Linked DNA regions of Lepisosteus oculatus. The protein of the gene in region 4 interacts with the protein of the main gene of each other region in a pairwise test. Links are inferred from orthologs where the notes say so. Each region holds a gene or a part of one and is shown on either strand. Other genes may lie near its edges.

Region 1 (7,075 bases), on a different chromosome or scaffold from region 4:
ACAGACAGCAGCGTGTTGTTCAACATCACTGAGCACAGCGCTAGGAAACAGGCAATTGCACAAACCTGTATGTACAGTAGATGTACCTATAAGGGACACAGCTGGATTCCATGAACACTAGGAACACTAGATCAGACTAGGAACTAGTCAGAGTGGTAACAGTTACCCCAGATAATATGAGGAATGCCATTTACATTGCAAGCTGCTGCAGCTACTGTAGTAAGAAAATGTTTGTGCATCAGGAGAATCAGCCTTCTCAATGCGCCTGCGCTGACATGTCAGTGTCAGCTGTTTTAACGCGGATGACTGGCCAGACACCAACCTGTCGGGGTCGCCGGCCTCGAACTCGTACAGCTTCTTGGTCCAGTGGCGGGCCTCGCGGACGTCTCCCTCGGAGCTCTGCGCCGTTGCCGCCCCCCCGTCCCCGGGGAGCTCCTCCTCGTCGAAGCCGTCACAGCGCATGCGGCCCCTGACACACCAAACAGCACAAAATTACCGTTCCTCCTCGCAGCTCTGCACGGCCAGTTTCAAAGGATCGGGAACCGTGCAGGGGTCTCAAAACAGGAACTGGAACAGAAAAGCTGGAACCAGACCCAGATCCTGTGTGAGTGCGCCCTAAGCAGGAATGCAGAGTCAGTGATTTTGAACAGCAGACAGCGACACAACCTGGCCTGTGCTGATAGCATCCTGCAGGACCTCCTGTCCAGGGCACTGGACACTTTTAGAAATCAATCAGTCCAAGTTCTCAGAAAAAGCTCCCCATGCATTGTTCAAATCTTCATGAAGGTAAATTATTACTGATCCCCATTTGTAGAATCAATAGGCTAAAAGCCTCTCTCATTGGTTAGTGTTTTAAAAAACTCATTCATTTAGCATCTCTTTAAGCCCAGTAATGTAGTCTTGGACAGAACCCTTGTTAAACAGAATGCTAAATAGGATATTAAATAGAATTTGCCTTTTTAAGTTGTTTTGTGTCTTGAATATAAGGAAGCAATTCTATATTTTCTATGCAGGTTGAAGGCAGGTCTCTGGTAGCTCACTGTATTGTACATAGCTGTATATAGCCATGAAGACCATGTGCTGTTTGCTTGTGTAGCTATAACAACATAAATATTTGTCTTATTAAGGTCCCCCCTTTTACTCTATTACCAAGCTGTGTTGGAGAAGCTAAGAGCACACATGCTGGTAATGCTCGGTATTCCCTTAAAATCAGGGTTGTTATTATTATTGATATTAGAATTTGCTATGTTTTCAGGACCTGATTTTTGGATTTTAATTTGACAGCTCCTTTTTTATACACTCCCCCCCATTTATAGTACAATACTTTAGGTTTCCTGTAACTTATATAATACTGCAGGGTTGTCTTTCTAGGAAAGATTAAGAACACTATTGAACACCACAGCCTGCTGTACAGAGCTCTTATTTAGGAGGATGCAAACCTGCTCAGGTCATGATCCAGCTTTCGTCGATGCCATCTGGCATGATCACCCAGCGTCTGGCGCTCCTTCTCCCTCATCTTCCACATCTCCGACTCCTCCTGGATCTGCCCCACCAGGAAAGAAGGAGACAAACGCAGGTGTGGTTACAGCTCGGCAAATCCCGATCACCAGCACCACAGCCTGACAGGATCTGGCAGGATCTTATAATCATAAGAGTAATAATAATTGGAGTAATAATAATACTGGAGTAATAATAATTGCTTACAATTATTATTATAGTTATAATAATTATTATTATTATAAAAGCTTATAGCGCTTTTCTGGACACTCCACTCTTCTTTCTGTAAGTAAGAATTCCATTGTACCAGTACCGGTTACATATGGCAATAAAGTTCAAGTTCAAGTTCAAAGCGCTTTACAGGTAATGGGGATCCCCTCCACCACCAGTGTGCAGCCCCACCTGGATGATGCAACGGCAGCCATAGTGCGCCAGAACGCTCCCCACACATCAGCTCTCAGTGGGGAGGAGAGCAGAGAGTAATGTAGCCAATTCATAGAGGGGATTATTAGGAGGCCACGATTGGTAAAGGCCAATGGGAAATTTTGCCAGGACGCCGGGGTTACACCCCTACTCTTTTCAAGAAACGCCCTGGGATTTTTAATGACCACAGAGAGTCAGGACCCTGGTTTTACGTTTCATCCGAAGGACGGCGCCTGTTTACAGTATAGTGTCCCCGTCACTATACTGGGGCATTAGGACCCACATGGTCCACAGGGTGAGCGCCCCCTGCTGGCCCCACTAACACCTCTTCCAGCAGCAACCTTAGTTTTTCCCCAGGAGGTCTCCCATCCAGGTACTGACCCGGCTCACACCTGCTTAGCTTCAGTGGGGCTGCCAGTTGTGAGTTGCAGGGTGATATGGCTGCTGGCGATGAGGACGATTCTGGATTGGGGTACCGTCTGGGTGGGTTTTCTGTGGTGTTCCGGTTTCCACATTCATAAACAAATCCATGCTGTCCTGGTTAACTGACATCTCTAAAGTCGTGCGTGTGTGCATGTGTGTGTGTGCGTGCGCCCTTGATGTAGTCTGATTAGTAGCACCTGGAGTACCTGATGAACTCCTGCTTACCTTATTATGAGCATCTGTGTGACGGATGACATTTCGGAGAAGCACCTTTCCCATAGGAACACGAGACATGATCAAACCTATACAGACAAAAATGTAAATACACTTAGCCAGGGCAACTTCTTTTGCTAACATGCAAGAAGATAGAAATTTCTTAATCAAGGACCCTGGACTTTGAATTTGCACCCCAAATGTACAGTCGTTACAGTTCAGTTTCATGCCCCAGGTTTTCACAAATTAGCACTATCAAAACACAAAACATTCAGGCGTCTGCTGAGTACCTGAGCTCATACAGGTCAACCAGCCAGCAAAGGTTTTCAAGCATCATGCTGGAACAACAGACATCACACGCAAGACCTCAGAAGCTGATTATCATATGAAAATTCCAAGATTTGCTATTACATGTGCTGAACGTGAATCTGTTGGGAGAACTGACACCTAGCCTAACCAGGAATATTCTAAAGATGGTCGCAAAGAGGACTGTTGTGAGTTTATTGAAATGTCTCTACGCTGGAAAAATCTTAAAAGTCCCTTTTCAAAGCAACAACTCTTCAGCGTGGCAGAAAGGCTCAGCCCAACTGCACTGGCAGTGCTTAAGGTACCCCAAAACCCTCCTATACTCACAAACCCCCATGACTCTGGTTTTGAAGACGTTCATTTTTACTTTTACAGGAAAACACAAGTCTATAGCCCACTGGTATAATGTGGTAAACAATTTGCTTCATGAATACAGCGGTTTGATTCCCTGCTCGCTCCTGGAAAAGCACAGGGAACTGTTGACTTTATTCCCGTGTTGAGACATGCAGGCGAAAGCCTAGCTGTTCCCACTGAGAGCTCCCACACAATTAAGTAACAAAGAGACAGCAGTAGCGCACACACATTTTTCACGTGTGTGACGAGCTCCTGTAGAAGCTGTTTCAGGCTCTTTTTAGGCTCAGCAGGAGCAGTTTGGTAAAACGAAAAAGAGGGGCTCCGTTATCGCGAATTCCCAAACTTTTCATTCGTGTCTTTCTGTTTTAAATGCGGAAATTGTACCGAGTTCCATTTTCGTTTTAATACCGCCTGCCAGCTTCAGTTGACTGAAGGATGAATACCATTAAAATACCAACATAGTGCATATAAATTGATTTTGTTAATAGGCTGTTAAAATCTTACCTTTTTGTTACAGTAATTCTTTGTCCTTAAAACAAATCATGTTATTTCATCCCACTGACTTCCTCCGCTTCTCTGTTGTTTCACCGGACGTTGTTGTCATTGCTTAAACGTCCCATCCTGTTTTCCTCGCTAATAAAATATAGTGATATAAGATAGCAGTTAGGAACAATTAAACACGGTAGCACCCTGCGGTACATCGGAGGAGTAAACTGAGAATAATGTAAGCGGATACATCCATTTCGGCATTGAAAGAGACTGCATGACAGAAGAGTGTAAATCGAGGTGGGAACCAATATTTCCAGCCTGAGCTCCCACACGGATTGACGGACTGCGTTTCTATAGTTACCGAGAAGCTACAACAGAAAGGCATAGACGGGAGGCTGTGGGAAGATTTGAAAATCTCACCCAAATATCGCACACCAAGGTAGGCAGCATTTTAGAGCAGGACAAATGTGTGTTTGTATAAAAAAAAAAATACATTAATGTGATTGACTTGCGGCATTTTTATTTTCACTGTTATTTTTTTCTTTTCTGTTTTTATTAGCCTAATGATTATAGGCAATATATTATCGAAGTTAATTGGAAATCCCGAGTTATACGTCTTCATAATATGTATATATCATGAAAGGTGCTGCAAAGGAGTCACTGTCTAAGACACATTTTATATTTGCAAAGCCTCATAAAGTCGGAATATTTCCATGCCTAAATATATTTCCAGTGCAGTCCAAAGACAGTGACACGGGTATTGTTGTTTTGGCTCTGTACTGCAGCACGTTGGATTTGAAATGAAACAATGACTATGGGGTTAAAGTGCAGAATGTCAGCTTTAATTCAAAGATATTTACGTCTGTATTGGGTGAACCGTATAAGAATCACAGCCCTTTTTATACATAGCCCCCCCATTTCAAGGGACTAAAAGTAATTGGACACATTAACATCATCTTAAATAAAATTGTCATGTTTAATACTTGGTTGCAAATCCTTTGCAATTGATGACTGCCTGACGTCTGCAACACATAGACATCACCAGACGTTGGGTATCTTCCCTGGTGATGCTCTGCCAGGCCTGTAATTCAGCCATCTTCAGTTCCTGCTTGTTTCCAGGGCTTTTTGCTTTCAGTCTTGTCTTCAGGAAGTGAAATGCATGCTCAATGGGATTCAGGTCATGTGATTGACTTGGCCAGTCGAAAACATTCCACTTTTTGGCCCTGAAAAACTCCACAGTTGCTTTAGCAGTATGTTTGGGGTCATTGTCCTGCTGCAAGGTGTAGCACCATCCAATGAGTTTTGAGGCATTTGGTTGGATCTGAGCAGATAAGATGCTTCTGTACATTTCAGAATTCTTCCTGCTGCTGCCGTCTGCAGTCACATCATCAAGAAAGACAAGTGAGCCAGGTCCACTGGCAGCCACACATGTCCAATCCAGGACACTACCTCCACCATGTTCCACAGATGAGGTGGTCTGCTTTGGATCATGAGCTGTTCCCTTTTTTTTCCACATTTTCCTCTTCCCATCACTCTGGTACAGGTTAATCTTCGCCTTATCTGTCCATAAGACTTTGTCCCAGAACTCTACAGGCTTTTTTTATGTACTTTTTAGCAAACTGTTACCTTGCCTTTCTGTGGCCTTTCTTACCAGGGGTTTGCATCTTGTGGTGAACCCTCTGAGGTTATGCTGGTGTATTCTTCTCTTTATGGTAGTTTTTGACACATCTATACCTACATCCTGGAGAAGGTTCCTGCTCTGTTCAACAGTCGAAAAGGGGTTTTTCTTCACGATTGAAAGTATTCTTCTGTCATCACTACTGTGGTCTTCTCTGGTCTACCAGGTCGTTTGCTATGCTAAGCTCACCAGTGCGTTCTTGCTTCTTAATGTACCAAACAGTTGATTTTGATACACCTTCTGGCTATGTGATTGATTTATTCTGATTTTTCAGCCTCATGATTGCTGTGTTAATGACATTGACTCTTTTTTGTTCCTCATGTTGAGAGACAACAGCAACAGACTCCAGACGCAAGTGTCACACGAAGAATGAACTCCAGACCTTTTCTTAGCTCTCTTGTGCAGGAACTAACGATGCAACGACACACAGCTGGCCAAGAAACAACTGAGCAGCCAGTTGTCCAATTCCTTTTGGTCCCCTAGAATGGGAGGACTATGTATAAAAGGGGCTGTGATTCCTATATGTTACACCCAATATAGATGTAAATATTCTTCAATTAAAGCTGACATTCTGCACTTTAACCTCATAGTCATTGTTTCGTTTCAAATCCAATGTGCTGGAATACAGAGCCAAAACAACAAATATTCTGTCACTGTCCAAATACTTATGGACTGCACTGTGCTAGATTCAGGAATGACAGTGTGATATCTTGGAAGAGAACTAGATATATATTTTTTTGACTGAACATGTGCTTATTAAGTTTTCATGTGATGAAATTGTGTGTCTGCCCAGTACCAATTCCCTCTAGAAGAAGAAGGGTCACCTGTGTCCGTTTCCCCCACAGGCGCGGCATGGCGGCTCCGTGCTCCCAGCAGGCCGTGCTGCAGCAGGTCAGCCAGCTCTGGTCCCTGCTGGACGACCTGTCAGAGAGCAGCCCCGAGGGCTACCGCAGGTTCATCCAGCAGCAGCTGAAGGACGGGGCTGATTACTACAGCAGCCCTCAGGCTCACTCCTGTCTGCGCACTGAGATACTGGTACACACTCCCCCGTCTTACTCCTGTCCGCGCACTGAGATACCGGTACACACTCCCCCGTCTCACTCCTGTCCGCGCACTGAGATACCGGTACACACTCCCCCGTCTCACTCCTGTCTGCGCACTGAGATACCGGTACACACCCCCCCGTCTCACTCCTGTCTGCGCACTGAGATACCGGTACACACCCCCCCGTCTCACTCCTGTCTGCGCACTGAGATACCGGTACACACTCCCCCGTCTCACTCCTGTCTGCGCACTGAGATACTGGTACACACTCCCCCGTCTCACTCCTGTCTGCGCACTGAGATACTGGTACACACTCCCCCGTCTCACTCCTGTCTGCGCACTGAGATACCGGTACACACTCCCCCGTCTCACTCCTGTCTGCGCACTGAGATACTGGTACACTCTCCCCCTGTCTCACTCCTGTCTCTACACTGCTATACCGGTACACACTCCCCCGTCTCACTCCTGTCTGCGCACTGCAGTACTTGTACAGACTTTTTTTACACCCCAGTAGGTGGAAATCGCCTTACATAATAGGAATGCAGTTTAAACACTGTACAACCCCAGAGCTCCAATTGCAGTTTGCTGTCAGATGTACCTGGGGATCAAAGTGAGGAAGAGGTGAGAAAAGAGATGATTTAATCATCA
Region 2 (7,665 bases), on a different chromosome or scaffold from region 4:
AAGTATGTATTCCATACCTAATCCCACAGACCTGTAAATCAACTTTATGTACAGGTATTCCTAATGAAAACTCTTTGACCCCCTCCAGCCAGGCTGGAGTCTACACCTTTTCTCAATGCTGTTCTTATAAACCTCTTAATCAGCCTAGGGGGCTGATCAATCACACACAGCCTATCACAAGCTCCTTTCCCTCCTGTAGAATGTAATGAGTACTAATTCATTCATAGCAGCTGTGTCTCATTCAACAGATTCTTCCAAAGAACAATTGGCTATCCTGACAATCATTTTCCAGATACAGCAGCTTGTGAATTTGTTGCAATCGTAGAATATTTAATTGTAATACGTTTATGATGCTTAGTATATATTTTAGAAAGCTCCTGTTATGACTGTACTCCTGCGGCGTCTCTCGGCTAGCAGTAACCCTGGGAAACTGTTATATTCTTACAGGGGCTCACGGTTTTCCAGGGCTTGTTTGTACTACCGAATCTCTTTCTAGTGAGCTGCCTTAATTAACATTGATCCAATTCATTATTAAATTTCTCTTTCTCAATTTAATGCCAAGGTGCCGCTTCCATGGTGCTTTATCATTATTCCTTTCACCGTCCTGTCTGCACTACAGTTTCCCAAAGTCCTGTACATCGGACAGATGCCTCAGCATCTCAACACCAGGATTCCTCTCCGAAGTCAAATTCCCATTCTCTCTCGGGGCTCGGCAACAGGATTCCACTCCAAGACCAAGATAACCAAGCGTCCTCCTTTTTTCTGGGAGCTTAGCACAGGACACCAGTCCTAAACTGCGGATGCCCTATTCCTGGTGATGGCCTGATTCGTCAGGCTTGAGATCTCGACGCCAACCACCCTCGTTTCTCGCTGCTGCAGCAGTCTTCTCTGACTCTAGGCCAGGATTTCAGGTCACCCTGCACTGCAGTGCTCCATTCTAGTCTGTTCTTACTCCAGTCCAGGACTTCACTCCAATCTGCACCACAGATCTTATACCTGCCTGAACGTCAGCTCCTGGCCTCTGCCCTGGAACCCTGGGCTCCTTTCCCCTGGCCTTCTTCTCCTGCGGTTCTGGCCCACTTCCAGGAGGCAGGGCTATTCCCTGAAGCCCCTTTTCCCTTTGCCTGGCAGAACCGTTCTAGTTCTCTCGAGTCCTGCCCTAGCACTTCAGTTTTTCTCCTTCCTTTTCTGTTCTTCACCCTTTCTCTTGGGCTGTCTGGGTAATTTATTTATCTTTTTCCAGTTTCCTTCTAGTGCCCCAGCAGAGCCTTTTGATCTTTTGTAGGGAGCCAGGCATCCTGATTCTGTCTGGTGCCTGCAGAGCATCACTCTGTTAGCCAGAGCTCCATGAGGATTCTTAGTTCTCAGGCTCTGACTGGGACAACTCCCCGCTGCTGTGCTGATCTGAGACTCTGAGAGTTGAGAGAAGAATGAGGTAGTGTCCCTTGCCTCACAAATGTCTCTCCCAGTTGGTCCAGAGGGGACCTGGGTATCTAATCCTGTTTGCACCCGGGTGCCTCTGTCAGAGAGTTGAACCCGGGAGACAGAGCTGACGGTGGACACCTGGCCTGGTCTCGAAGGAGGCCCTCCATAAGGGCATGCGCCATGATTTACCAGCTCCTGGGCCCTTTGACTGGACCATTGAGTGGGGGTGTCCTGCCTCACTGGTTTTGGTGAGACCCCTCCTCTCAGTAAAGCCTACAGACCAAAGCACAGCTAGGTTCTGAGGCGACTCCCTTTGTTTTCCCTGTTGTAGACTTGTGTTGACGTGTGTTGACCTGTGGGCTTGCCAGGCTGCATCCCTGGCTACTTAGAGGGCTGTTTCACAAAACTGAGAACCCTTCCATTTGAGGGCTTGGCGGTTGGTTCTGTTCCAGAGCCAAGGGTACCAGATCCTGGTCAGTGGGCTGAGCGGTTAAACTTGTGGCTGGCGCTTTGCTGTGCCAGCTCATCTTTTTAGTCACCAGGAATGCAGAGAACTGCCACTTTTGCCCCTCAAGAGCTTTCTTTAGTTGCTGACCAGCTGTGGCTATCCTTGCTCTGCTGGCCAGTTCTGTCTTAGAGTTTTCTGCTGTCTTTTTCCATTACTGACCGGCCTGGGCTGATTAAGCCCTGCCAGCCAGTAATCAATTATTCTATTGAATATTAATTAATCAATTATCACCTTTTTCGTTCCCAGTTCATTTTCTCTTTTCCTCTGTCCCGGAGCACTCGACCCCACAATCAGTGGGGTCTCTCTGGGTGTTCCTCCACTCTCGGTCACTTGTGCTTGGGTTCTGACAAATCACCACACTTGGCATTACAGCTACATGTAGGATTAACGATGAATAATGTTTAAGAATTTTCTATTATTAATATATTCTATACATAATTCGAGAGAAAGAAGAGGTAGAGAATGAGTTTGTTAAATCCTATAGAAACACAATGTGTAATGGATAAATCCAATAAGCATCTCTTTCTTGTCATGTTGGATCAATATCACCATTCCTCAGCGTAATTTGTTCGCTCAATACCGATGAATTTTAACAGACACAGAATGTGTAAACTCAGGATCTTTTCTTGAATAGTACCTTTGTGCTCACCATCCTATGTTTTCACTACACTGATTTTTAATTGTCTTTTAGATTTACCAAAATGCTGCATAGGACATTTAAAGACATACATCAACTCAGACACAGCATTCTTGGGGGCCTATTCTTAATTTGAAAGACTATACTAGTAGGTGGATGATAATCCACACACCTGAAGAAGCCTCCACATCCGAAACGTTGTGTTCTCTTTCTTCTTTTTTTCAGCATGGAATAAACCTATTACTTGTTCCTTTGCAGCCTACCCATGCTGATGCAGCTACCCACCTGAACTACAACCGCGGTGGATGATAATGTTTGTCGTACTGTATGTGTTATTACAAGCAGTTAAAACATAGAATATTACTTTTAGTCTCGATAATATAGAGTATTTAGACTGTAGTGTCTACACCACTGGTGAGGATGTGATATTTTGGTACTGTTCTTTCTGTTGAAAGTAAACTGTAGCATGGAAACAGCTGTCCATGGCTGCTAACGTCAATTTTCCTTTGGCGAAAAGGGAGGATGAAAAGTTGTGAGCCTCTCCTGTAGGGTTCTGATTGAATGAAAAGCTGATTAATATATACTGTGCACAATATATTATATTTTATAAATATAGGTTATTGTGCCTATGTTAATATCAATTAATCAACATGATAAATATCAATTGTTTAAATGGAAAATCAAGCTTATTTCAAAAACACGCCTTATTTTAATGGGGGTACAGGAACAGGAGGTTGTGACAAGGGTGCAAAAATCTCTGAATACAGAATGTATTACTAAGAAAAAAAACTCTTTTGCTTAACAATGTCTAGCATGGAACTGTAATAAATAATTACGAATTCAGACTCCACCTTAAACTCTGGCTGCCCTGCCTTGCAGAAGGCATATATTATAACCTCTTCAGTGTGGCAGTGCTCTGCAGTCTCAATTCAGCCTCTGTCCTTGCCCTTGTTTGCTTTGGGATTCCTGTCTGCACTGTGATTCATAGAGTACCCCACACCACACTAGCTGCATTCACAGCTTCTGTTTTTATCAGCACTAAGGAGCCTTATGCAAAGTGTGCTTGCCTGGGTTAATCAGAGCTCTCTGTTAACGGGAAAAATCCCCTGTGAATTCTCTTGAATCCCAACCCGTGTGTCAGGAGGCCTGCATCTACTCCTGCAGGATAAATAAACAGAGGCAGACTCAACTGTAACACTAGGCCTGTTCATGGATTAACTGGAACAGATTTTAGGCATTTTAGTGATGCTAGCGTGACATCAAACTTCACTCTATGTTTCTGTCTCCTTGCTGAAGCTCAGCCCTGAAAGTCATTTTAAATTATTTTTGAACAATGTTGCATTTTAACCCTTACATCTAAAACCTAAATATTTTTAGGTTTAAGGTCAGTAGAATGATAAGGGTTATTCACAGTGATAGAAGTTGCAGAGATCTGTCTATTATAAAGCCTGTTTGAAACTAATTCTTTTTATATCAGCACTGACATATCAGACTCCATGAGCTAATGTATGGCCTCAGAAATAGTTTTCCATGTAAAATCAATGTAACACACAGTTTGTTTTTCACTTGCAAGATTCCAGTGTCAATGGAGTTGAAAACAAAACTTCTCAGTTTTAAACCTTGCAGTGCATGACAATGAAGAAAACATCCAAAACTAAAACTACAAATCCATACCTATGATACTACTTATTTCCTTTGCAGTGGGCATGCATAAAAATATTCTTGTGCTTACAAATACGGTCCAGCATGGCAAATTCATTCTTTCTTCCACGCATTCTTTTTTCAGATATGTTACAAATAGTGACAATTGCATTATGAGCAAAACACGTTGGAACTGCTGTGGAACTCTGAAACTCATTAGGCAGACATGAGTCACAGTGAGTCCTAGAAAAGCTATGTGTTTTTTTTACTAATTTGTACGACAGGAAAGGGCTAAAATTTGGTGGCTAATGCTACAAAATATCATCTTTTCTGCTCCCAGCTGCTGAAATGAGAGGGAGGGCGGTAGCCAGGAGTACCCAATCTAAATCATTGAAAGTTTCTGGCAAAGAGTTCAGAAAACTGTGCTGAGCAGCAAAGCTGGTTTGTTGAGCTCTAACACATAGTATTTCAGCACCTAAACCCAGAACTAGTGTATATGAATTTCCTTTTTGGGAATGATTCGGAACTGAAACAGATCAAAACTCTTTTCTCCCTGAAGACGTAAGGTGAATCAGAATTATGAAAAAAGATGACCAGATTTGGTAAGTAACAGATCTTTTTTTAATATATTGCAGATTACATAAAAATGATACTGCCTTTTTTTAGGGTCATTTAGAAACAGTTTCTAATGGTGAACTGAAATGTAAATGGCACTTTAAACACCAGAATCAACCATATAGACAGAGGTGCTTAGTAGAGACCTACTTAAAAAAATAACTTGCTGGAAATTATACAATTAATGCACAATCCCAGATGGAGAGAGAGACCTCTGGCATAATGCACCATGCTTTTATTTATTACTTTTTTGTGCACGTTCTTCAAGAGACCAGTTGTGGGCCTCAGCTTTGCAGTATATTTCAGATGCAAACATCTGTATGGATGAAATCAGGCTTTATGCCAATAATTTAAAACCCAGAACAGTCACTGCCTCAAACACATTGTATTTATTTTGGTAAGGGAAGGAGAAAAAATAAATGCAAATAGAAATTCCAAAAATAAATTCCTTCAATTCAGATTAACAGTATAAAGCAAGATCATTTGTGTTTGTAATAATATATGAAATGTATTACCTATTTAAAAATAAATCCATAAGGTGCTGTTTAATAATAGTTAAAAAAAATGTAAGAACCATGTAACAGTACAGTTTCAATCTTAAAGGTGAACTTGCTGAAATGAGGTTTGAACATTTAAAGAAACAAAATGTTTTAAAATTGTTTTAAGTGTTTTAAACTCACAGGTTTAAACGTTAAGCTGCACATACAAATTACAGGCTTTATGTATACATTTATTTTAGGTTTTGTTGAAAACGAAAAAGTAAAATAAATAAAAACGGAAATACCTGTGAAGCTGCTTCATGTTAGTGGCATATATTAAAGAAGAGAATGCAAAATCTCTGGACACAGTTGTTTGGTTGCTCTCAACCAGCTCTCAGCTCTCAGTCAGGGCTCATGCTCAAGGACAGCCAGTATCTTTCATGAGTGAGTGAAGTCCAGTGGTGATCACTTCACACTACAGTCATGAGTAAAATCATTACCACTGTCAGTATTATTCAGAGTATTTCAGATTCCTTCAGAGTTCTTCAGATTCAGAGACAGTTTCTTCCCACAAACTGTCAGATTAATGAACTCTACCCCTACCTCTGGCTCACACTGATATATTTTTAAGTTGTATGTTATTTAACTTGTTGCTGCTGCTGCTGTTCTGTGATATGTTTTTGGTGATTCCCTTAATGTCTTCGTATTGGAGCACACAAATAAGCATACAGTATAACATATAAACTGAACTGAATTATTAAAGGTTTTTCCTAAAAAACTGGTACGGAGATTTTTAAATGCCTTTTTTGCACTATTTTATATCTTATGCATAATTAAACAAACACGCATCCACTAAAATCCAGGGAGTGTTATTTATAATGGTATTTAGGTCTGTGGCTATCAAGATGTGCTAGAAATGATTAACATGTATTTGATATGTTAACACACTCGAGTATTTCAGAACTATATACAGGGTTAGTCAAAATGATGTAGACAACTTTGACAGTTTATTACAAATTAATTACATGGGTTACTGTGACAAAAAAGGTTTCAAATGAAAGCATACAAATCAAGGTTTCTAACAGTTACCTTACATCTGTGGAGGAGAAAACAAAACTTTAGTAAAATAATTGGCATTTATACTTGTCGACAACATTTTGACTAACCCTGTATATTATGTACAATAGGGAAATGTTTTGAGATTACAGAGAATTGCTTCTTCTTCTTAAGCACAAATAACTTTTAAGTAATGATTATTTAGAGAGCAGTGACATACAGTATTATACCTAGCCTATTGAAATATAAAATCACATACTGTAGCTCCAAATTGTCTGATTAACCCAGATATTCACATTACTGCAAAATGTGAGTCTCTACTGCAAATGTGCATTACTGGAGTGGCTTTTTGACTTCAGAGGAGTGTTTACAAACCAGGTCCTGAACCTGCAGAGTAGAAAATGTACATTCCCGTCAAACAATTTGACTCCGAGAATTTTTTTCTTTTCAACGTTTCAAAAAACAACAAAATCAAATGTCTAAGTCATTCCGTCAGTTTCGTTTGGTAATCCTTTTGCATTTTTGATACAGAGTTAAATCAATCTTGCCCTCTGTCTGTGGCAGGAATATTGGATTAAAGAATAGGCTCCAGATCAGAGGGGCAACCACAGAGCTCCTACACAGCTGTCACTCTCCACCACCCCATCCATTAAAACATACATAAAATAAAAAAATCAACTCCTTATAGAAACTGAAAATAAATCACTGGGTCTTTAAATTTTTGCAGCACTGCTCTTGCTTCCAATTTTAAGATCCAGTTCTCCTTATAAACTAAGTTTTACTTGACTCTTGATTGCCAGCTCCTCAGTGCTGCTAACGGCGAAAAATGTGTTTTCTGTGTTCTTTCCTTCCAAGTCTTGGCTAAGGTTTGAAAAGACACAATATTACTGCTCTGTGCCATTACATCAACATATGAGTAGCAAATTTCAAAGGAAAGTCGGAGTCACACTGCAGTAATTACAGGAATTAATGTGCATGCTTTTTTATTTTGAGAAGTCAACAGTGAAGCAAACTCCATTTACAGAATGATGGATAACTATAAGCAAAAGCATAAGTAGAATTATAAATAACACCAGTGTAGTTTCCTTTGCTTGAAAGGAGATGGGCCTGTATAGTATAAGGGTTTGGTGTGCCAGGCAGCTTGTGTGGAAACATGAGATAAAGGGAAGCAGGGAACACTTCCTGCAGGACCTAGTAATTACACTACATCTCACAACACTGCTGCATATGGAAATATGGTACTGTATATATCAGTGATCGTCACTTCTGCCCAATATGAATATAAACTTCTGATTGTAATTCAA
Region 3 (7,245 bases), on a different chromosome or scaffold from region 4:
TTTTAAACAAAATGAACTCACTAACTATAAATAAGTTGGGATTCTAAATAAATGTATACTTGTTTCCCGTAAAATGTTTGAAGACCTACTTTTCTTATAAGTCTATGAGGCTTTTTTTTGTTGGGGGGATAGTGTATATGATGTCCATGCTTTAAGGTTCAAGTTATACATTCTGGAGTTCAAATGTAATCATTCACAATTTAAAACTGATTCTGAATTATTCTGAACTTAATTTCAGTTTCTGAAGCCTTTAAAAAAATAGAGCTTTACTGTACACGGTGGTACTCCAGTCCCTGGAGCAATAAAGTCCGGTCCCCGCCGTAACCTTCAGTAATATTATCGATTCAATTGTATTCTTGCTACGGGTCGTTTTTTAGCCGAAGGGGTCCTTAACGAAGGAAGACCCCTGGGAGCTGCTCCCTGGTCTACAAATGGTAGAGAACCGCTCATCTAGTCTACTTGCATTAATGTCAAGGTTTCGCACAGGTTCACAGCATGCAGCGTGTAAATAAATAAATATGTATGCACTGAAAAGAAAAAGACTCAAATCACCGTTCATCTATTAGAGTACGACAACAAGCAAAATAAATCACAAAACATGATTTTTTGTCTGTCATTGAATATGTGCGGGCGAACATTGGCTGAATCTCACGCCTGTTCAGGAAAAGAAGGAAGAACCGCAATGCTAGCTGCATCAAAAGAAAACCAGCATTTGGCGAAGAGCAACTTGTCTTCACAGCTTCAATGTGCGGTGCTTAGACGCCATCTGCAGGATAAATAGTCTCACACACGTTTTTAAACCGCTGGCGGGATTTCCATTTCTTGAAAAAAAAAAACGTCACAGAATCTTTAATGTCCCGTAACGGGTTACGAAACGAGCAGCGCCGTTAATATTTCTGCCAGAGCACATTCACCTTGTTAACATTGAACCCAAGAATTAAACAAATAATAGCAGTCCGGGTGTTATGGTTTCAGCATTTCAAGGCCAAATATGACACTATAAAATCAATTAAAATATAAGGATTTGCAAATTATAAGAGGCAACAGACTACACCTTAAAATATGAAACATTTAGGGATGTTTTTTAAAAGCCGGCAGAGAAAATCAAGAACTTCTTTGAATTGTGTTAACTTTCCTCTAGGGTTAAGCACTACATACTCAGTGTGATCAAAAAAAAACCTGAGACCAGAATTACTGATTTATAATCTCAGAGGTGGGTCCAGGAGTCATAAGAAAAAGACCAAAGGATTGTGTAAAAAAGGTGTTTGTTTACTTAATGTGCTCTTTGTTAAGAAAATACTTGTAAAAAAAAAGAGGTGAAAAAAGACATTCCATTGAAGAATGAACAAACTCCATCCTGTGTTACTATCGCACAGACTCAAAACTAGACTTAAACAGAATAACCTGCTACACCAGGAGTGTCCGTTCAATACTCCGATATCCTCCCTGGCACCAACTGATGGACAGGAAGGAAATTTCCATTTAAAGCAGAGATGAGTCAGGGTCTGAAACCCGTCACTGTTCCGACCACGGACAGATGCCCGTGTCGGGTCTTGTAGGAGACCCCATGCGATGTGGTAAGAGCTGGAGAAAACAGAAGACGTAGTATGGGAAAACACACAGGGGTTTAATAGTGCACAAAATAACAGTGACAGTCCGCGAGACAGTGAACGGGGGAGACAAAGAACCGCATCCAAATCCAAAAGGGTCCAAAGGCAGGTCAGGGCCCAGTCCGGGAGTCCATCAGCGAGTAATCCATCCTGGGACGCGACAAGGTTAAAATCCCCCGGGAAGGGGGAAAACACGAACAGACAAAACATGGAGATCCGAGGGTGATGTGGGCGAGATCCCCCAAACCCCGGGCTCAGGAAGCAGGAGGTGTCGGGGATGAGGCCTGTGCCCTCAGGAGACAGACGTAGGGTATCCTGGTGCCAGGCGGGCCTCGCGACGTGCTTAATACACATAATCGGGGGCGGAGCAGTGGCTCTGTGGCTAAGGATCTGCGCCTGTGGCTGGAAGGTTGCCGGTTCGAATCCCGTGACCGGCAGAGGAATCCTACTCTGTTGGGCCCCTGAGCAAGGCCCTTAACCCCAGGGGCGCTGTAAAATGGCTGACCTTGCGCTCTGACCCCGAGCTTCTCTCCCTGTCTGTGTGACTCATGGAGAGCAAGCTGGGGTATGCAAAAATTCCTAATGCAAGAAATTGTAAAGGGTTAATAACAAGGTACACCTGGGGAGTTAACGACAATGACAGGAATGATAACGTGAGTAATGGAGCGCCCTCTAGGGAGGGTTGTCGGGCCTGACAGTCACAGCGTGATGGAACAAACATAACGACTAGACTGTTGGATTCACAACAGATGAGACAGACACAAATCTACCCATACGTACATTGGTACGACACTGTAACGATACATTCCATATAAAAATACAAAGAAAGTGACTTTGTCAGGGGTTTTATGGCAACAAATTTTTACATTCCATATAAAAATACAAAGAAAGTGACTTTGTCAGGGGTTTTATGGCAACAGGTGAGTAAAAAAGGTGAAAAGGTTTGTGACAGACCTCAGAAGAGGTCTTGTGACGAGGGTGTGCACCAGTCCTTTGTCAGACTCGGCGGTATCATCAGACCCCTCCCAAGAAGATAAGCTTGCATTCACTGAAACAAGCTTTGCCTTTTAAATCCCCCTTAATCTGTTAATGTAATTTGCTTTGCGTATGTACCCATGGGCGCAGCCAGGAATGAGCATTTCTCCGTAGTTCACAGGTAATCAGTAAACATTGGACCAGTCATAGCATGACAAGTCCAGGACTGGATTATATTTACTGAGCCCCTGAGCCCTGCCACAACAGTAGGCAGCTGGTTTGGTTGGCTGGTCGGACTGGTTTGTCCCATTGGTTAGTTATCCCACCTCTAACCACTGACTTTCGTCCCACGCGCAAAGAACGTCACAATGAAGTCACTCTTTTATACATCTGGAGCTCAGCTCATTGACACATAAATCTGCTTAATGTGAATGATTGCTGCTCATTTTCTTCAAGGTGGATGGTGATAACTGCTAGTTCAAACCCAATCTCCCAAACCTACACGCTCTTGTGTATATAGTGAGGGCTGTAGTGTGATACACGTAGGAGCTTGGATTTCGACTATGATACTACGCTTCGGAGATCCCACTGGTTTTTTTTTCTCCATGTGTGTGTTGCAACAATTTTAGGCCTGTCTAATAGTGGGCCAGCACTGACGCAGTCTCTGTATGTCTACTGGGATAGCTTAAAATGTAAGGCAAAGTAACATCTCCAAAGTGTCTGCAGACCATTGAATAAAAAGCAACCTTGGATAATTAAGCATACTGTAAGATAAATGAAGGCATAATGTCTTCAAATTCTCACAATAAGCCAAGGGAAAACTTTGGCTCTTGAATAGGAGACCACAGATGTAAAAAACAATCTATTTAAATCAGCTTGGGTCATTACTTCAATGCTTACTACAATATGGTGCCGCATGTTGTATCATTTGTAATAACCACATCCAGACAGGTACTTCTTTTTTTTTTTACAACAACATTTCTTTATTAACCCTTTACAATTTCTTGCATTAAGAATTATCTTTTCGCATACCCCAGCTTACTCTCCATGAGACACACAGACAGGGAGAGAGCCTGGGGTCAGAGCGCAGGGTCAGCCATTGTACAGCACACCTGGAGCAGTTGGGGTTAAGGGCCTTGCTCAGGGGCCCAACAGAGTAGGATTCCTCTGCCAGCTGTGGGATTTGAACCGGCAACCTTCCAGCCACAGGCGCAGATCCTTAGCCACAGAGCCACCACAGGTACTTCTAGAGTGTTACATGGGACCCTCTAGGAAATTTGTACCTCGATTTCAATACCTCTGTTCAGCACTTTCCTGCTAGGCATATGTACAGTAGTTCAGGCTTTACAACTTCAGAAGATAAAGAGCTTTGGAGTCATATTTCAGGCATACTGTAACCATACAAAGATTAAACGTGGTTTTCATTCACATAGGTAATATCTGACACAACTAGAGAATAAATAATAAATAATTGCATTGTAAATCTCTGCACTGCAAAAGGGCGGTAGGTCCAGACAAGATGGAGATCCTGTGCATGAACTACATTTCCCAGAATGCTGTGTGGGGCGTGAGCTGCCGCCCTTATTTAAAAACACCGGAAATTGAAGCTCTGTTAAGGTGGTTTGATTTGTTGTTTGAATACTAAATACCATGTGAAACTTAGGAATTGGGAGTTTTTGAAGTGAGTATCTTTGGAAGACGTCAAAGAGTCTTTACTGCGAAAGCTGGTAAGCAGCTCAGTAGCCCGTTTATTGATAGAGGCTGAGGAAGTCTAGGCTTTCATTCTGTCTTGGTGGTTTTGCATTGTTTCCTCACAGTGTATTTATTTTGAAAGGCTGGTTTTGTACCTTGGGGCTTTGCTTTTGTGAGACCTGAAGATAAATTCGCTTTCTGCGACACCCCCAAACCGCAGGTGTGCCGCAGTATGGGCGGTAACACTTTCTGATTCCCTAAAAAGCGACTTTGAAAGGAAAAGACATTGTCCCAGCTTCAGGACAGTAAACATTACACATACACAGACGTATGCGACAAGGCATACGGCAGATCAACATTAATGCGTTTAACGTTGTACAATTATCTTTAAAAGGCTGCATATCACTAACGGGAACGTGCAGTAAGAAAACATAATTTTGTGGGTTTATTGATGCGCAAAAAGCCTTTATTCAGTATTGACTACAGACTCAGCATGCTGTGTTGGCTATACATTATATGCTTGCATGTCCCATAGTGTAAAGTATGACTCACAACTGTAAATACTCGTTGAAAGTAGCCGCATGTGACGGAATATATATTTTTATTTGTTTTTCTTCAACAAAGAACACCCAGGAAGTGCAGAATACAACTGCTAATGTTATTCTTCACTCCACTAGATGGAGGTACTGTAACTGTATTTATTACCTTCACAGCGTCTGTCCGCTATGATCAGAAGATGATCGTGTGCTTTGCTCCCACTCCTTGTCAGTCTGCTGGAAAATGATGTATACCATTATATTATATATTATATTTTTGTACCAGCTTGATACCAGCTCGTGTGTTCTTCTTACCTTCAGCAAAATGCTAATTATTTCGATCATATCCATCGAGAAATACGATGTGTGAAGTGTTAAAATGTGACGTTCGAACGTATTTCAATATATATATATAATTGCAATTTATTTGGCTTAAGTTAGAGGAAATCTCTAGTGAACATCCTCCTAGCAGCCTCTAGGCGCTTATATCACAGTATTTAAAGTGTTGCTGCACTTTAAAGGTTCCTTTACATTTGTATTTTGAAGTTTTATAGTCTTGCTCTTTTTAAAAAAAAAATACGAGACCTCCCAGCCTTAAAAGTAGGCTTTGCTTCGCTGGTCTGACACACAAACGTCCGAAACATTAGTCTTCATCTTAATGAGGGCAAGGGGTGGAAGACGGCGAAGGTTAGTTATAACGCTGGAACGTGTGAAATTAAGCGAGAAGGAAGTCGGGCAGGACACGGTGGGTTTAGTCTGGAAACCCCGGTGCCGGTACCGGTCGCAGCCGGGGGAGTTTGCGGTCTTTGCGGCGCGCGCGCTTCGTGCTCCCCTCCCTCTCGCGACGGAGTGACGTCATCAGGAGGGGGGTGTCTCGCATATTCTTCTTCACCACGCAGAGCAGCGAAGAGATACACGATAACGAGGAGCCCGCTTTCTCCAAGTCCAATTGGCCCGGGAGATTGTGAACAACAGTGTTGCTCTTTCCTTGACTGGGGTTTTTTTTTTTGTTTACCCAAGATTGCGTGTATGCAAGGCCGAAACCGAACAGAGTAAGTTTTCCTCTTCCACATCCACACATAAACATCTTTTTTTTGTTGTGTTTTTTTTTTTTACAACTCTTTGCTATGCGGGGAAATTGCGTGCGTGCGATGGGGGCTGGAGGGGTTAGGGAAGCCGCGACAGTTCTCAGTGGCAGACTCAGGGGAGAAAGTTGTGTTTTCCTTCTTTGAAGCGACCGCCCTCATCCGTTGTGCAGGGGAGAAGGCTGTGCAGAGCGAGTGTTGTGCAGTGAGCAGCCCGGAGAAAGTAAAGCGATCGGATTGTGCAGTTTATTTAAAGAGGCTAATCACAAAGACGAATCTTTGCATGACCCAGATTACATATTGTTTTTCCCCCCTCGGCAGCCACCTGCAGCCTGTGAAATAAAATCCAGTTTGCACGCAGATATGAACGCCTCTGCCGTTCCTCCTCGACTGCAGCAGTCTTTGCAATAAGTGATCGTGTCGGGGGTGTCCGGTTATGCGATACTGTCACAGTTAACTCACGGTACAGTGGATGCATTCAGTTCACTTCACTGCGTGTTACCCTAACTAAAGCCCCTGAATTAATTACCCTGTCTCTTAGATTTTGCGCGCTTACAAAACATGTTTTACTTCGTTAGATGCGTTTGATTGTAATATAACGCAGATATAGTTGCAAGATAATTGCAGATTAACTGCGTGCAATTAGTGTGAGTGGGAAGTGCCGTCGTCTTTTACATACATATGTTTTCCTAGTTGGGGGGAAAAAAAAACTGCCCCTTTCAACTTTAAAAAAAAAAGGGGGGTTTGTTACGCTTGAACACGTGACAAAGCGATCGGGTTAGATATTGCGGGTGGGGTGTAAAAGTTAAAGGCTGGAAATGGTGGAACCCGCGACAAATTCGCCTGCAGTGAACTGGTCCATAGAAGCGTTGGAACGGTCTGTAAATTATTCTATACACTGGTGTTGCACGCTGGACAGACCGCTGTTTAACAACTCCAGGTTGTTAAATGTGAACGGTTATACCAGGCACATTTCACCGTTAGTAATTCAATGAATTCGGACTTTTTACATTACGTGATGGGTGGGGATTGTGCCTCGTTAACATAGAGTTGCTGTGCGTTTTTGTTTTTATTCCTTTAAAAACTAATCTTAGGATGCAGTATATTCTAGGAGCCCTGCCAGTGATTTTATCGACATCATAAACGACATCATGACCTCATTGATTTAGGTCAAAGTCTCAGACCTTTGCTTTTTTTGATGTTCTGCCACACCCCATCGATCCATTTACTAACCGCTCGTATCCAGTGCAGGGTCACGGGGGCGCCGGTGCCTATCCCAGCAAGCAACAGGTGCAAGGCAGGGTACACCCTGACTGGGATGCCAGTCCATTGGCAGGACACGCATAC
Region 4 (8,013 bases):
TTGTCATTTTGGTTTCTGAGAAAACAGGCTTACAGTTGCATCCTTCTGATTTTTTCTTAGCATTCTTTCTTTACATTAAGAACACACACAAGAGGTTCAATTTTATTTTGATTTATCTAGTTTGTCCTTTAGGATATGTAAAATCCAAACTGCATAACTGAGTCATTAATTTGTCCAAGGTGCAGCCATTTGCATTTCTCCCCTCTTAAAGCTAACACTTGCTTTTCCAAACACAGGCGAGTTTGTCTTTGTGGGTTAAGATAAGACCCTTGCAATTGAAACATTACTAAGTCTAATAAAGTTTAAATTTATTGCTCTTAGCATATTTGTCAGCTGGAGAAAATCTGAATTTTTTTTGTATTTTGAGTATAAGGTAGGTTTGTGTTTGTAATTGCAAGGTTTTTGTCTCCCATCTTAAGGCACTTAATTGTGGAAACTGAACATTCACGTCTATAAAAAGAACAAAAGATTTCACAATGCTTTCAAAGAGAACACCACCATAATTATGTATGGTTCAGGTAGTATTAGCTGTTTAGGAAACATTCAGATAAAGACTAATTTTGGTGTTGTGTTTGGAATATGTTGAAGGAACTAATTCTAGAAAGTCTAGGATTTTAAATTTAAAATTGAATTTTAAAGTACAACAAAAAGTTTACATTACAACAGCTAACCCTGTAAAAGAAATCAGTTCAAAAAGTAAATCCAGTATTCACTCTAATGTCATCATATAAGATACTGTACCAGTTAACTATTGCCTCCTGGAAAGGATTAAAATTGTTAAAAAGTGCCTCAAGATAAAAAGAACATATGGTGATTACCATTTTAAAAAATACTAGAGAAAGACCAAAATATGAATAAGGATAAATTTGTAGTGAGTACAGTTACTAGCTGCATAGGGGTTACATAATCCTACCTCTCTCCCTCACAAGTCTATTTTCAATAGAGAAGCTAAAATGCTTTGACATGTACACTTCTAACTTCTGTGAACATCAGAATAAGTGTATGTGTTTTGAACATAAACTCTGTATCAGGTATAAAGGACATTGCTCTGTCCGCACTCTGGACAAGGCAGTGATACAGTAAAAGAATGCATGTAATCTGCCTGAACACAGCTCGTTTGTCCAGTTCAGTATCAGTGACAGATGGTACTGTAGCTACAGCAGACATAACTGTGTGGTACTCTAAGGGATTTTAGGCACCCCTAAAAAGTCTCTTTTCAATACAAGCATCATTCCAAGGATCTTAAAGTTAACCACCATCATCACATGTAAACTGGACTGGGACTGAGATTTCCAATGTTATGAATCTTTACCTCTGTTTAAGTTAAAGTAAGAATGGTTACTGAAATGCATTTAAAAACGAACACCTGCGGTTTAATCACACACCACCAAAGAACCTAACATTCATACATAATAATGTATGAATAAAGAGAATATTTTACTGTTGTCACTGTATAAGGCTGTGGCGAAGAATGTATCAAGACTAAGAAACTTCACACATAACACGCTACAGTCACTATGACAACCAGGGAGAATCATTCAGTTAGATCTCGGTATCTAGCACAGTAAAGAAATCCATTAATATCTAAATCTTTTGCAACACTTGACTGTACATTTTATTTTTTTGTATATACTGAAATTTTTTGTTTCTTATCATACGTGTATGTCTTTTATTTGTTAATGGGTTCATTTTGTGTTAAATGTATCCTGTATTGTGCTATGTCTTTTACCTGACTGCAAACCAAATTTCCCATATGGGACAACAAATTAAGTACACTATTTTTGTACATATACTGTAGACAATGTAAAGTTACACATTACAAAGATACATCCTTAGCCATTGCACCTCTAAAATGTATGAAGCTACTGTATTTGTGTTGTACTTTATGGTTAAGAATACACATAACAATACGATACTGAATTATTATTTGTGTTAGTTGAAAGTCCACTTATTCTTTGAAGTGATCTTGATTTTATTGACATGATATCAAAAGGCTAAGCTGTTCTGGAATTGGTAAAGAACAACTTTCAAAATGTTTTTAAATGTACATTGCAAAACACAGAACTTAAACATTGGTCCACATATTGATCTCACTTAAAAGATAAAATCTTCATCACTTCCAAAGTGTTTTGACTGCAGCCTATAGGGCTCATTATTTTTATTATTATTTATCATCTTCATCATCCCCACGCTGCATAGGGCAGGGAAATTGACAACATTTGCTAAAAGCATCAAAATGTCATTACTGGCACGTTACATCTCTGATAGCTTGACCCGAGCATGATTTCATAGGGCATTAGTGGGTGTGCACCACCCACCTTTGCTTCTTAAACAAAGTGTATAATGCGCAGTATGAGAAACAGCAGAATACCCACATAGTTACCTTAGGGCCTGGTGCATATGCTTCCTGTAAAAGCACTGCAGATATTCACCCTTGTGAAGCAAATACTGAGGGTCATTTTCAAGTGAGAATCAGGTGGGCACGGTCTGCATTGGATTGCTCGGAACACATTTTACACAAGTTCTGGGTGAGATCTTGGACAAAAGGCAGTTTTTTTTTCTTTTTTATATTTAGTTGAAAAAATAAGGTACTTATTCTTCTAATTCTTTGTATCACAGAGGATATGTTTATTTTTTAAGGCTTATTACTTTTTTTACCAATACCGTAGCCATTAGGCTTACAGTAGTTTCCATGGCAACAAATGCAGAGGCATCAGATTTGAGCTCGTTTTTATTCTAATCTAGCTGAATTCGTCTTGAGTTGTTTTCAAACTACAGCGTAACTCCAAAAGACTCAAAGCTCTGTCTATATAACTTTTATCTGTATTTGGAGAGCATATCACTGACGGTTAAACAATTTGCGCAATTCTCAGTACAGAACCCATTTTAGAATCTATGTTATGCTGTTATTTTATAGTAAATACCATTCTAACAGGGGTTGTGGTAGCTCAGATGGCAAGGGTGTCTAGCTTCTGACTAGAAGGTCCTGGGTTCAATCCCAGGTAGAGGCAAGTGATATACAGTATCTTGCTCTGATTCCTTCCAGACAGCTCCCAGGTCTACTCAACCTGCTTTCCAAGTCAGTACTGGGGGGTCAATCCTTCTGGGGGTAATAGGCCACCTGGAGTGTGATGTGGACCACATCACCTCCACTTCCAGTGTCAAATGGTCAAGAAAAATGGTGGCCCTCAACCTCTATTCCCCCATAGGCCTTGATGGCCTGAAAAGGGACCTACCTACCATTATAATATATACATTTTTATGCAGGAATAAAATTCTAATCTGCAATTTCAGTTTTATTATCATTTTTATTTTAAATGAAAATGAGTTACAATGTCATTCTTCAATAATTAAGTAGCATTCCAAATGGTATTTGACCTTTCGGAATAAATTTCTTGGTGTAGAATTGGGAAAGCAATCTGAAAGACCTTTATATTCAATTCTCAGCATTTTTGTTCAATCAAAAACCTGTACCCTGTATGAAAATCAAAAGTCCATTAAGTGCCTTTTGGGACTATTTTTAAGGTTTCAGTTTTTTTTTTACTAGCAGAAAAATATATTCATATAAGTTAAATATACAGTATATATAAATATATAAGTGGCACTGGAAATTAGTTGCCATTTATCAAAGTTAATGTATCATGCAGGTTTCACACATGTCCAAATACTGGGTTGCATCTTAAAAAGGGATTGGAAAGCTAATTCCACTGTCAGTTTAGAAACTCATTTAAAGTGTTCAGTTTATGGAGAGGTTAGTATGATGTAGCTGTAATTAAAACTATTATTAATTCACAAACCTCAATGTCGTGTTTGCACATACCTACAGCTCCGTTTCTTCTGTAATTTCATTGTCATTCCAGATGCTAAAGCAGTGCTTATAACAAAAATATTCAAACTAAATTGAAATTATCATTGTTTGCTGTTACACCCATAACTTTAAAATACATTATGTATCGTTAGAGTGAAAGGTAGAGTACAATTATGCTCCGCAGGGTTGAATACCATGCTTAAAGTATTTTCAAACTAGTTTCTGTGTTTAGGCTGTTTAAGGACTTTCCAATTGTCAAACTCCTGCCTTATCCCTTCTTTAGGTATCCTCTCGCAGATTGTGTATTACAGGTCTTTGACGAGTCATGTGTAAAATAAGTGACTTTTTAACTCTTATTTTTTTATATTTACCATTGTCCCCTGAACATTACCAAAAACATCAACAATAGAGGTAGGATAAAATGTCTAAATACCCCTTCTGCGAAGAAAAAACGTGAATCTTTTCTAAAAAAACAGAAGCCCAAACTGCATTTCATTATGCTCTAGTTCGCGGCCGTCATTCAGCATCCTAACATTATCTTTACCACTTAATACGAAATGTGCCATTTTGGAGAAGCACATGATTTGACGATTTATTTTACACGGGTTTCGGTCAAACTGGAACCTCTGACCCCTTGACAGAATTTCATTAATCTTCTTCACTTGCATATGGTTATATGATGTAATCCCACGTGTTAAATCAGTTTCCTAAATGCTTCTCCTCAACACGTCTCTCTGCGATCCTTTCAAATGTAACATATAATTCAGCAAAGCAGCTCCATCTTGTTGTACAAACTCGAAGCATCACATATTAACCAAAATCTGGCTTAATGCGCTTTAATACCATGCTGCTATGCGATGTTAATTGTAATGCATTGCATTGCTATCCTGACACACTCAACCTTGCAGATCCAGCTCTGCTATGCGTGCTATCACACAGACTCGTCCCTTTTGTACGTATCACTGCACTCCTATGTGACTGAGAGGCAACTTCTTTTGGGAAGTGCGCGGACTATTTTGTGGCAACTTTGGGAAAACAACGCAGCCTGACCACAAACCCTCACGGGACGAATATTTATTTTTTTAAAATTCAGTTGTGTGTGAATTAAAACCCACGCGGGCTTGAATGTGCTCAGAAAACATCCATTTTGTTGTATTTTGTCAAATTACCGCGGAAGGATCCAGCCAAGAGCTGAGGTCAACGCTTCCGCCCAGTTTTCCTATGTGCACGGTCGAGTTGAAAATGGAGTTCGAGGAAGGCAGATGTGTTGTAACTTCTCATTGAATTTTAGCGCTTCTTTCGCCTCGTTTTTGTAGAAAAGAGAAAAAGAAACTTAACTTTTTTCAGTTCTGAAGGTTGGAATTATACACCGACGAAGCAACCCTACAGCCCTGCTCTGTGCTGGTGTCCAGAGTTGCCGAGGGATTTGCTACCAATAACGTGCCAAAATTGTCGTTTTGTGGTTTTATTAAAGCGCTGGAGTTAGTTGATCGTTGCTGAGGGTGATGGTGAAGATGTTGATGTTGTGGTGGTCGGATTTTGCTGCAGGAAGAGATATGAAGAGCACCCGATTGCTTTTCCCTTGCTCGATTTAGTTGCTTTTGGTTTCTTGCACAGCGCTGTGATGCAATTTATGTTGTGAACCCTCTTTTTGTTATCCAAATAAACTGGCGTTTTTGTGTGAAAGAAAATGGTGATATTTGCGGCTAATTTTCTCACCGTGGCTACGTCGTCGGTGCTACTGCTAGGATTCGGATCCCGGTGAGAAAAAATGAGCGAGGAGTCGGCAAATCCAAACAACGAGTAAGTTTGCGTTTTTATTTTTGCGTTATTGTTAAATGTTCTTCGATTTCTTGGTTTTGTATTGCTGGTTTCAGTGGGTAGCTTAGGACTTCATACTACAGCATTAGTACCGGAGTATAGCTGGGCTATAGCTTAAGATGACTACCTAGGTGGCTAACTTAATTTAAAAAAAACACATGGATACTAGAGAGAAAAATGCAACACCATAAACAGCACCCTAAATGATACACTTATCAATGCAATTTGTCGGTGTCGCTTGGAAAATGGATGATATTACATAGTTAAATCGAATGTCTATTTTACATAAGATGGTAGGTATTTATGGTGTTTTTAATCGTCTTATTTACAATTAATATCTGTAGAGCTCGTCAGGTTCGCTAAATACTCCTTTTACAGTATTAATATAGGCTTCGGAGCGATTTGCTGGATTTGCTTCGGGGAGTACTAATATAATTTAATACTTATTTGCTGATTTTGTTTTATAGAGACTTGATTAAGACCGCAAAAAAAAAACGTTTCTGAGCGGTAAAATTTAACTAAATTTAACTGCGACAACAGAAACTTCCGTTTGTTCCTGTCCTTTAAATCTGTCTAAAATATAATCTTTCACTATTTTACGTTTCGAAAAATCACCTACCAAAGATTTCGCATTTAATAGGCGTTTTGGATTCCGGGGATTTCTAATATGTATTTTGGGATGTTAGTCTTTTTATGAGAAGGATAATAATATTAGAGCATTTATTTTCATTGTCGATTTTTTTTATCAATAAGAATGTCTCTGCTTGCTGCAATGTCAGTGACTCAAAAAAGCTGAAGACGCCATATTTTTTTCTCAATCACACTCATTTGCATACCACAATCTTCATTCATAAAAAATGTTAAAAGAAGGAAGCGGCACCGAAAATCGACCGAATTTGTGGCGCAAATGTAAGGGGACCCTGCTTGTTAACGTCCCGAAGTTTCGTTTTTACACTGGGGCTTTATTTCGCCTTGGAAATCCAGGGTGTATAAATGGGCTCATCGCTGCGTGTGCTTGTTGACAGTCAGTGAGAAATATCAGCTCAGGGAGGTGCTGCGATCACATGATCATTTCCATTCATAAAGTACCTGGCTGCCCATTCATTGTACACTGTACATACAGAGTGTCTCAGCACTGCACGGGCGATCACACAAAGATTCTATCCGCAATCGAATAGCGGCCAGGTCTTGTCAAGGAGATGGGAAAACCGTAGTCAGCTGCCACTCCTTGAAAAGACAGCTATGTTCCCCTACCGTACAATGCTGGTGTCGATACTGTACCGCACCTTCGTTTGGTGCACGTAAGAAAGTGATCTTAGTCAAAGGGCATTCACATTCATAGACTCATGGAAGATGGGGCTCAACTGAATTAAATACCATTGCTCAGCCCAAAAGGAGGTGCCTTAAAATGTGTTCACAGTGGGTTTTTAGCCGAGTTCTATTCCATCTTATTCGTTTCCTGCATCATTTTGGATTTAAGCATTTGAGGTGAAATTTGTTCCACATCAGCATGTCTGCAGACTCGGTATTAACAATAATCCATGGTATTAAAACATGTGATATTGAATTTACCATTGAAGCCAGTGTTAAAGGCCAAATATTTATTCCATGGGAAATGTTGGTTTTAAATAAGGCGTTCTGGGATTACATATGCTTTTGATCAAAAAACAATTATGATTTTCTGAAGTGCACAAGAACACACGTACATATTTCTGAACACAGATGGAGGCACAAAGAAGCTGAATATTTCCGAGATCTGTGGGGATGCCATTTTGATTCGTTTAATTGTAAGATAAACCTATGTTGAATGATTCGTGTGGGAAAAAATAGCTGATGTTTGTGAGAATGAATGAAATATGTAGACCATTGCTATGTGTACAATATTGAAATGGTTTTGGGAGATTTTGTCTTAGAATTTATGGCACATCGATGTGTATCAGCATCTGCGGTCTTGCCTATATGAACATGGATTGTTCTTCATGCGTGCTCTCAACACTGTCCCCAAAATCTGTAGGTTTTTGTACCGTGCGACCAAATCAGATTGTTTTAAACTGAATGGAAGCATTTTGCTGAAGCTTTTTTATAATCCTTTTTTCTTTATCTTTGGAAGTTGTTAAAATCTGGGCTCCCTTTTTATGTTAATGGGAACAACAAATGTCTGTCATGTTACGTGTTGAGGATCAGTGACTATAGACTGTCAGGCTTCAGGATGAAATTTACATCCTTTTCTCTGTACATCTTTATTAGTCTTAATGTAAGCCTGTGCACAAGAATGGCTGAGGTTAGGGTGGAAGATCTCTGTTGCAGTGTATAAATGTGGTGACAACACAACTACAGTTTCCTTTTTCTCGGCTGTTCCTGAGGGGGTCTGTTTGTCGTGAGCG

What was found.
Region 1: the proteins of spred1 (region 4) and PIH1 domain-containing protein 2 interact in binary tests that used the Homo sapiens proteins (3 or more experiments, as listed by UniProt). The link is inferred for Lepisosteus oculatus from reciprocal best matches to the Homo sapiens genes SPRED1 and PIH1D2.
Region 2: the proteins of spred1 (region 4) and il16 interact in binary tests that used the Homo sapiens proteins (3 or more experiments, as listed by UniProt). The link is inferred for Lepisosteus oculatus from reciprocal best matches to the Homo sapiens genes SPRED1 and IL16.
Region 3: the proteins of spred1 (region 4) and ncaldb interact in binary tests that used the Homo sapiens proteins (3 or more experiments, as listed by UniProt). The link is inferred for Lepisosteus oculatus from reciprocal best matches to the Homo sapiens genes SPRED1 and NCALD.

What each region holds. Positions count from the first base shown.
Region 1 is NC_090718.1:15,289,152-15,296,226, forward strand, and holds the start of PIH1 domain-containing protein 2, read left to right. Parts: upstream 1-4,056; 5' UTR 4,057-4,144; intron 4,145-6,228; 5' UTR 6,229-6,235; coding exon 6,236-6,418; intron 6,419-7,075. Other genes in the region: uncharacterized protein NKAPD1, read right to left, coding at 323-469, 1,440-1,543, 2,569-2,645, 2,847-2,856.
Region 2 is NC_090700.1:42,407,420-42,415,084, forward strand, and holds the start of il16 (pro-interleukin-16), read left to right. Parts: upstream 1-4,657; 5' UTR 4,658-4,813; intron 4,814-7,665. UniProt on the Homo sapiens protein: Interleukin-16 stimulates a migratory response in CD4+ lymphocytes, monocytes, and eosinophils. Primes CD4+ T-cells for IL-2 and IL-15 responsiveness. Also induces T-lymphocyte expression of interleukin 2 receptor. Ligand for CD4.
Region 3 is NC_090705.1:9,133,168-9,140,412, reverse strand, and holds the start of ncaldb (neurocalcin-delta B), read left to right. Parts: upstream 1-4,225; 5' UTR 4,226-4,312; intron 4,313-5,685; exon of another isoform or gene 5,686-5,865; intron 5,866-7,245. UniProt on the Homo sapiens protein: May be involved in the calcium-dependent regulation of rhodopsin phosphorylation. Binds three calcium ions.
Region 4 is NC_090703.1:14,754,021-14,762,033, forward strand, and holds the start of spred1 (sprouty-related, EVH1 domain-containing protein 1), read left to right. Parts: upstream 1-5,007; 5' UTR 5,008-5,579; coding exon 5,580-5,611; intron 5,612-8,013. UniProt on the Homo sapiens protein: Tyrosine kinase substrate that inhibits growth-factor-mediated activation of MAP kinase. Negatively regulates hematopoiesis of bone marrow.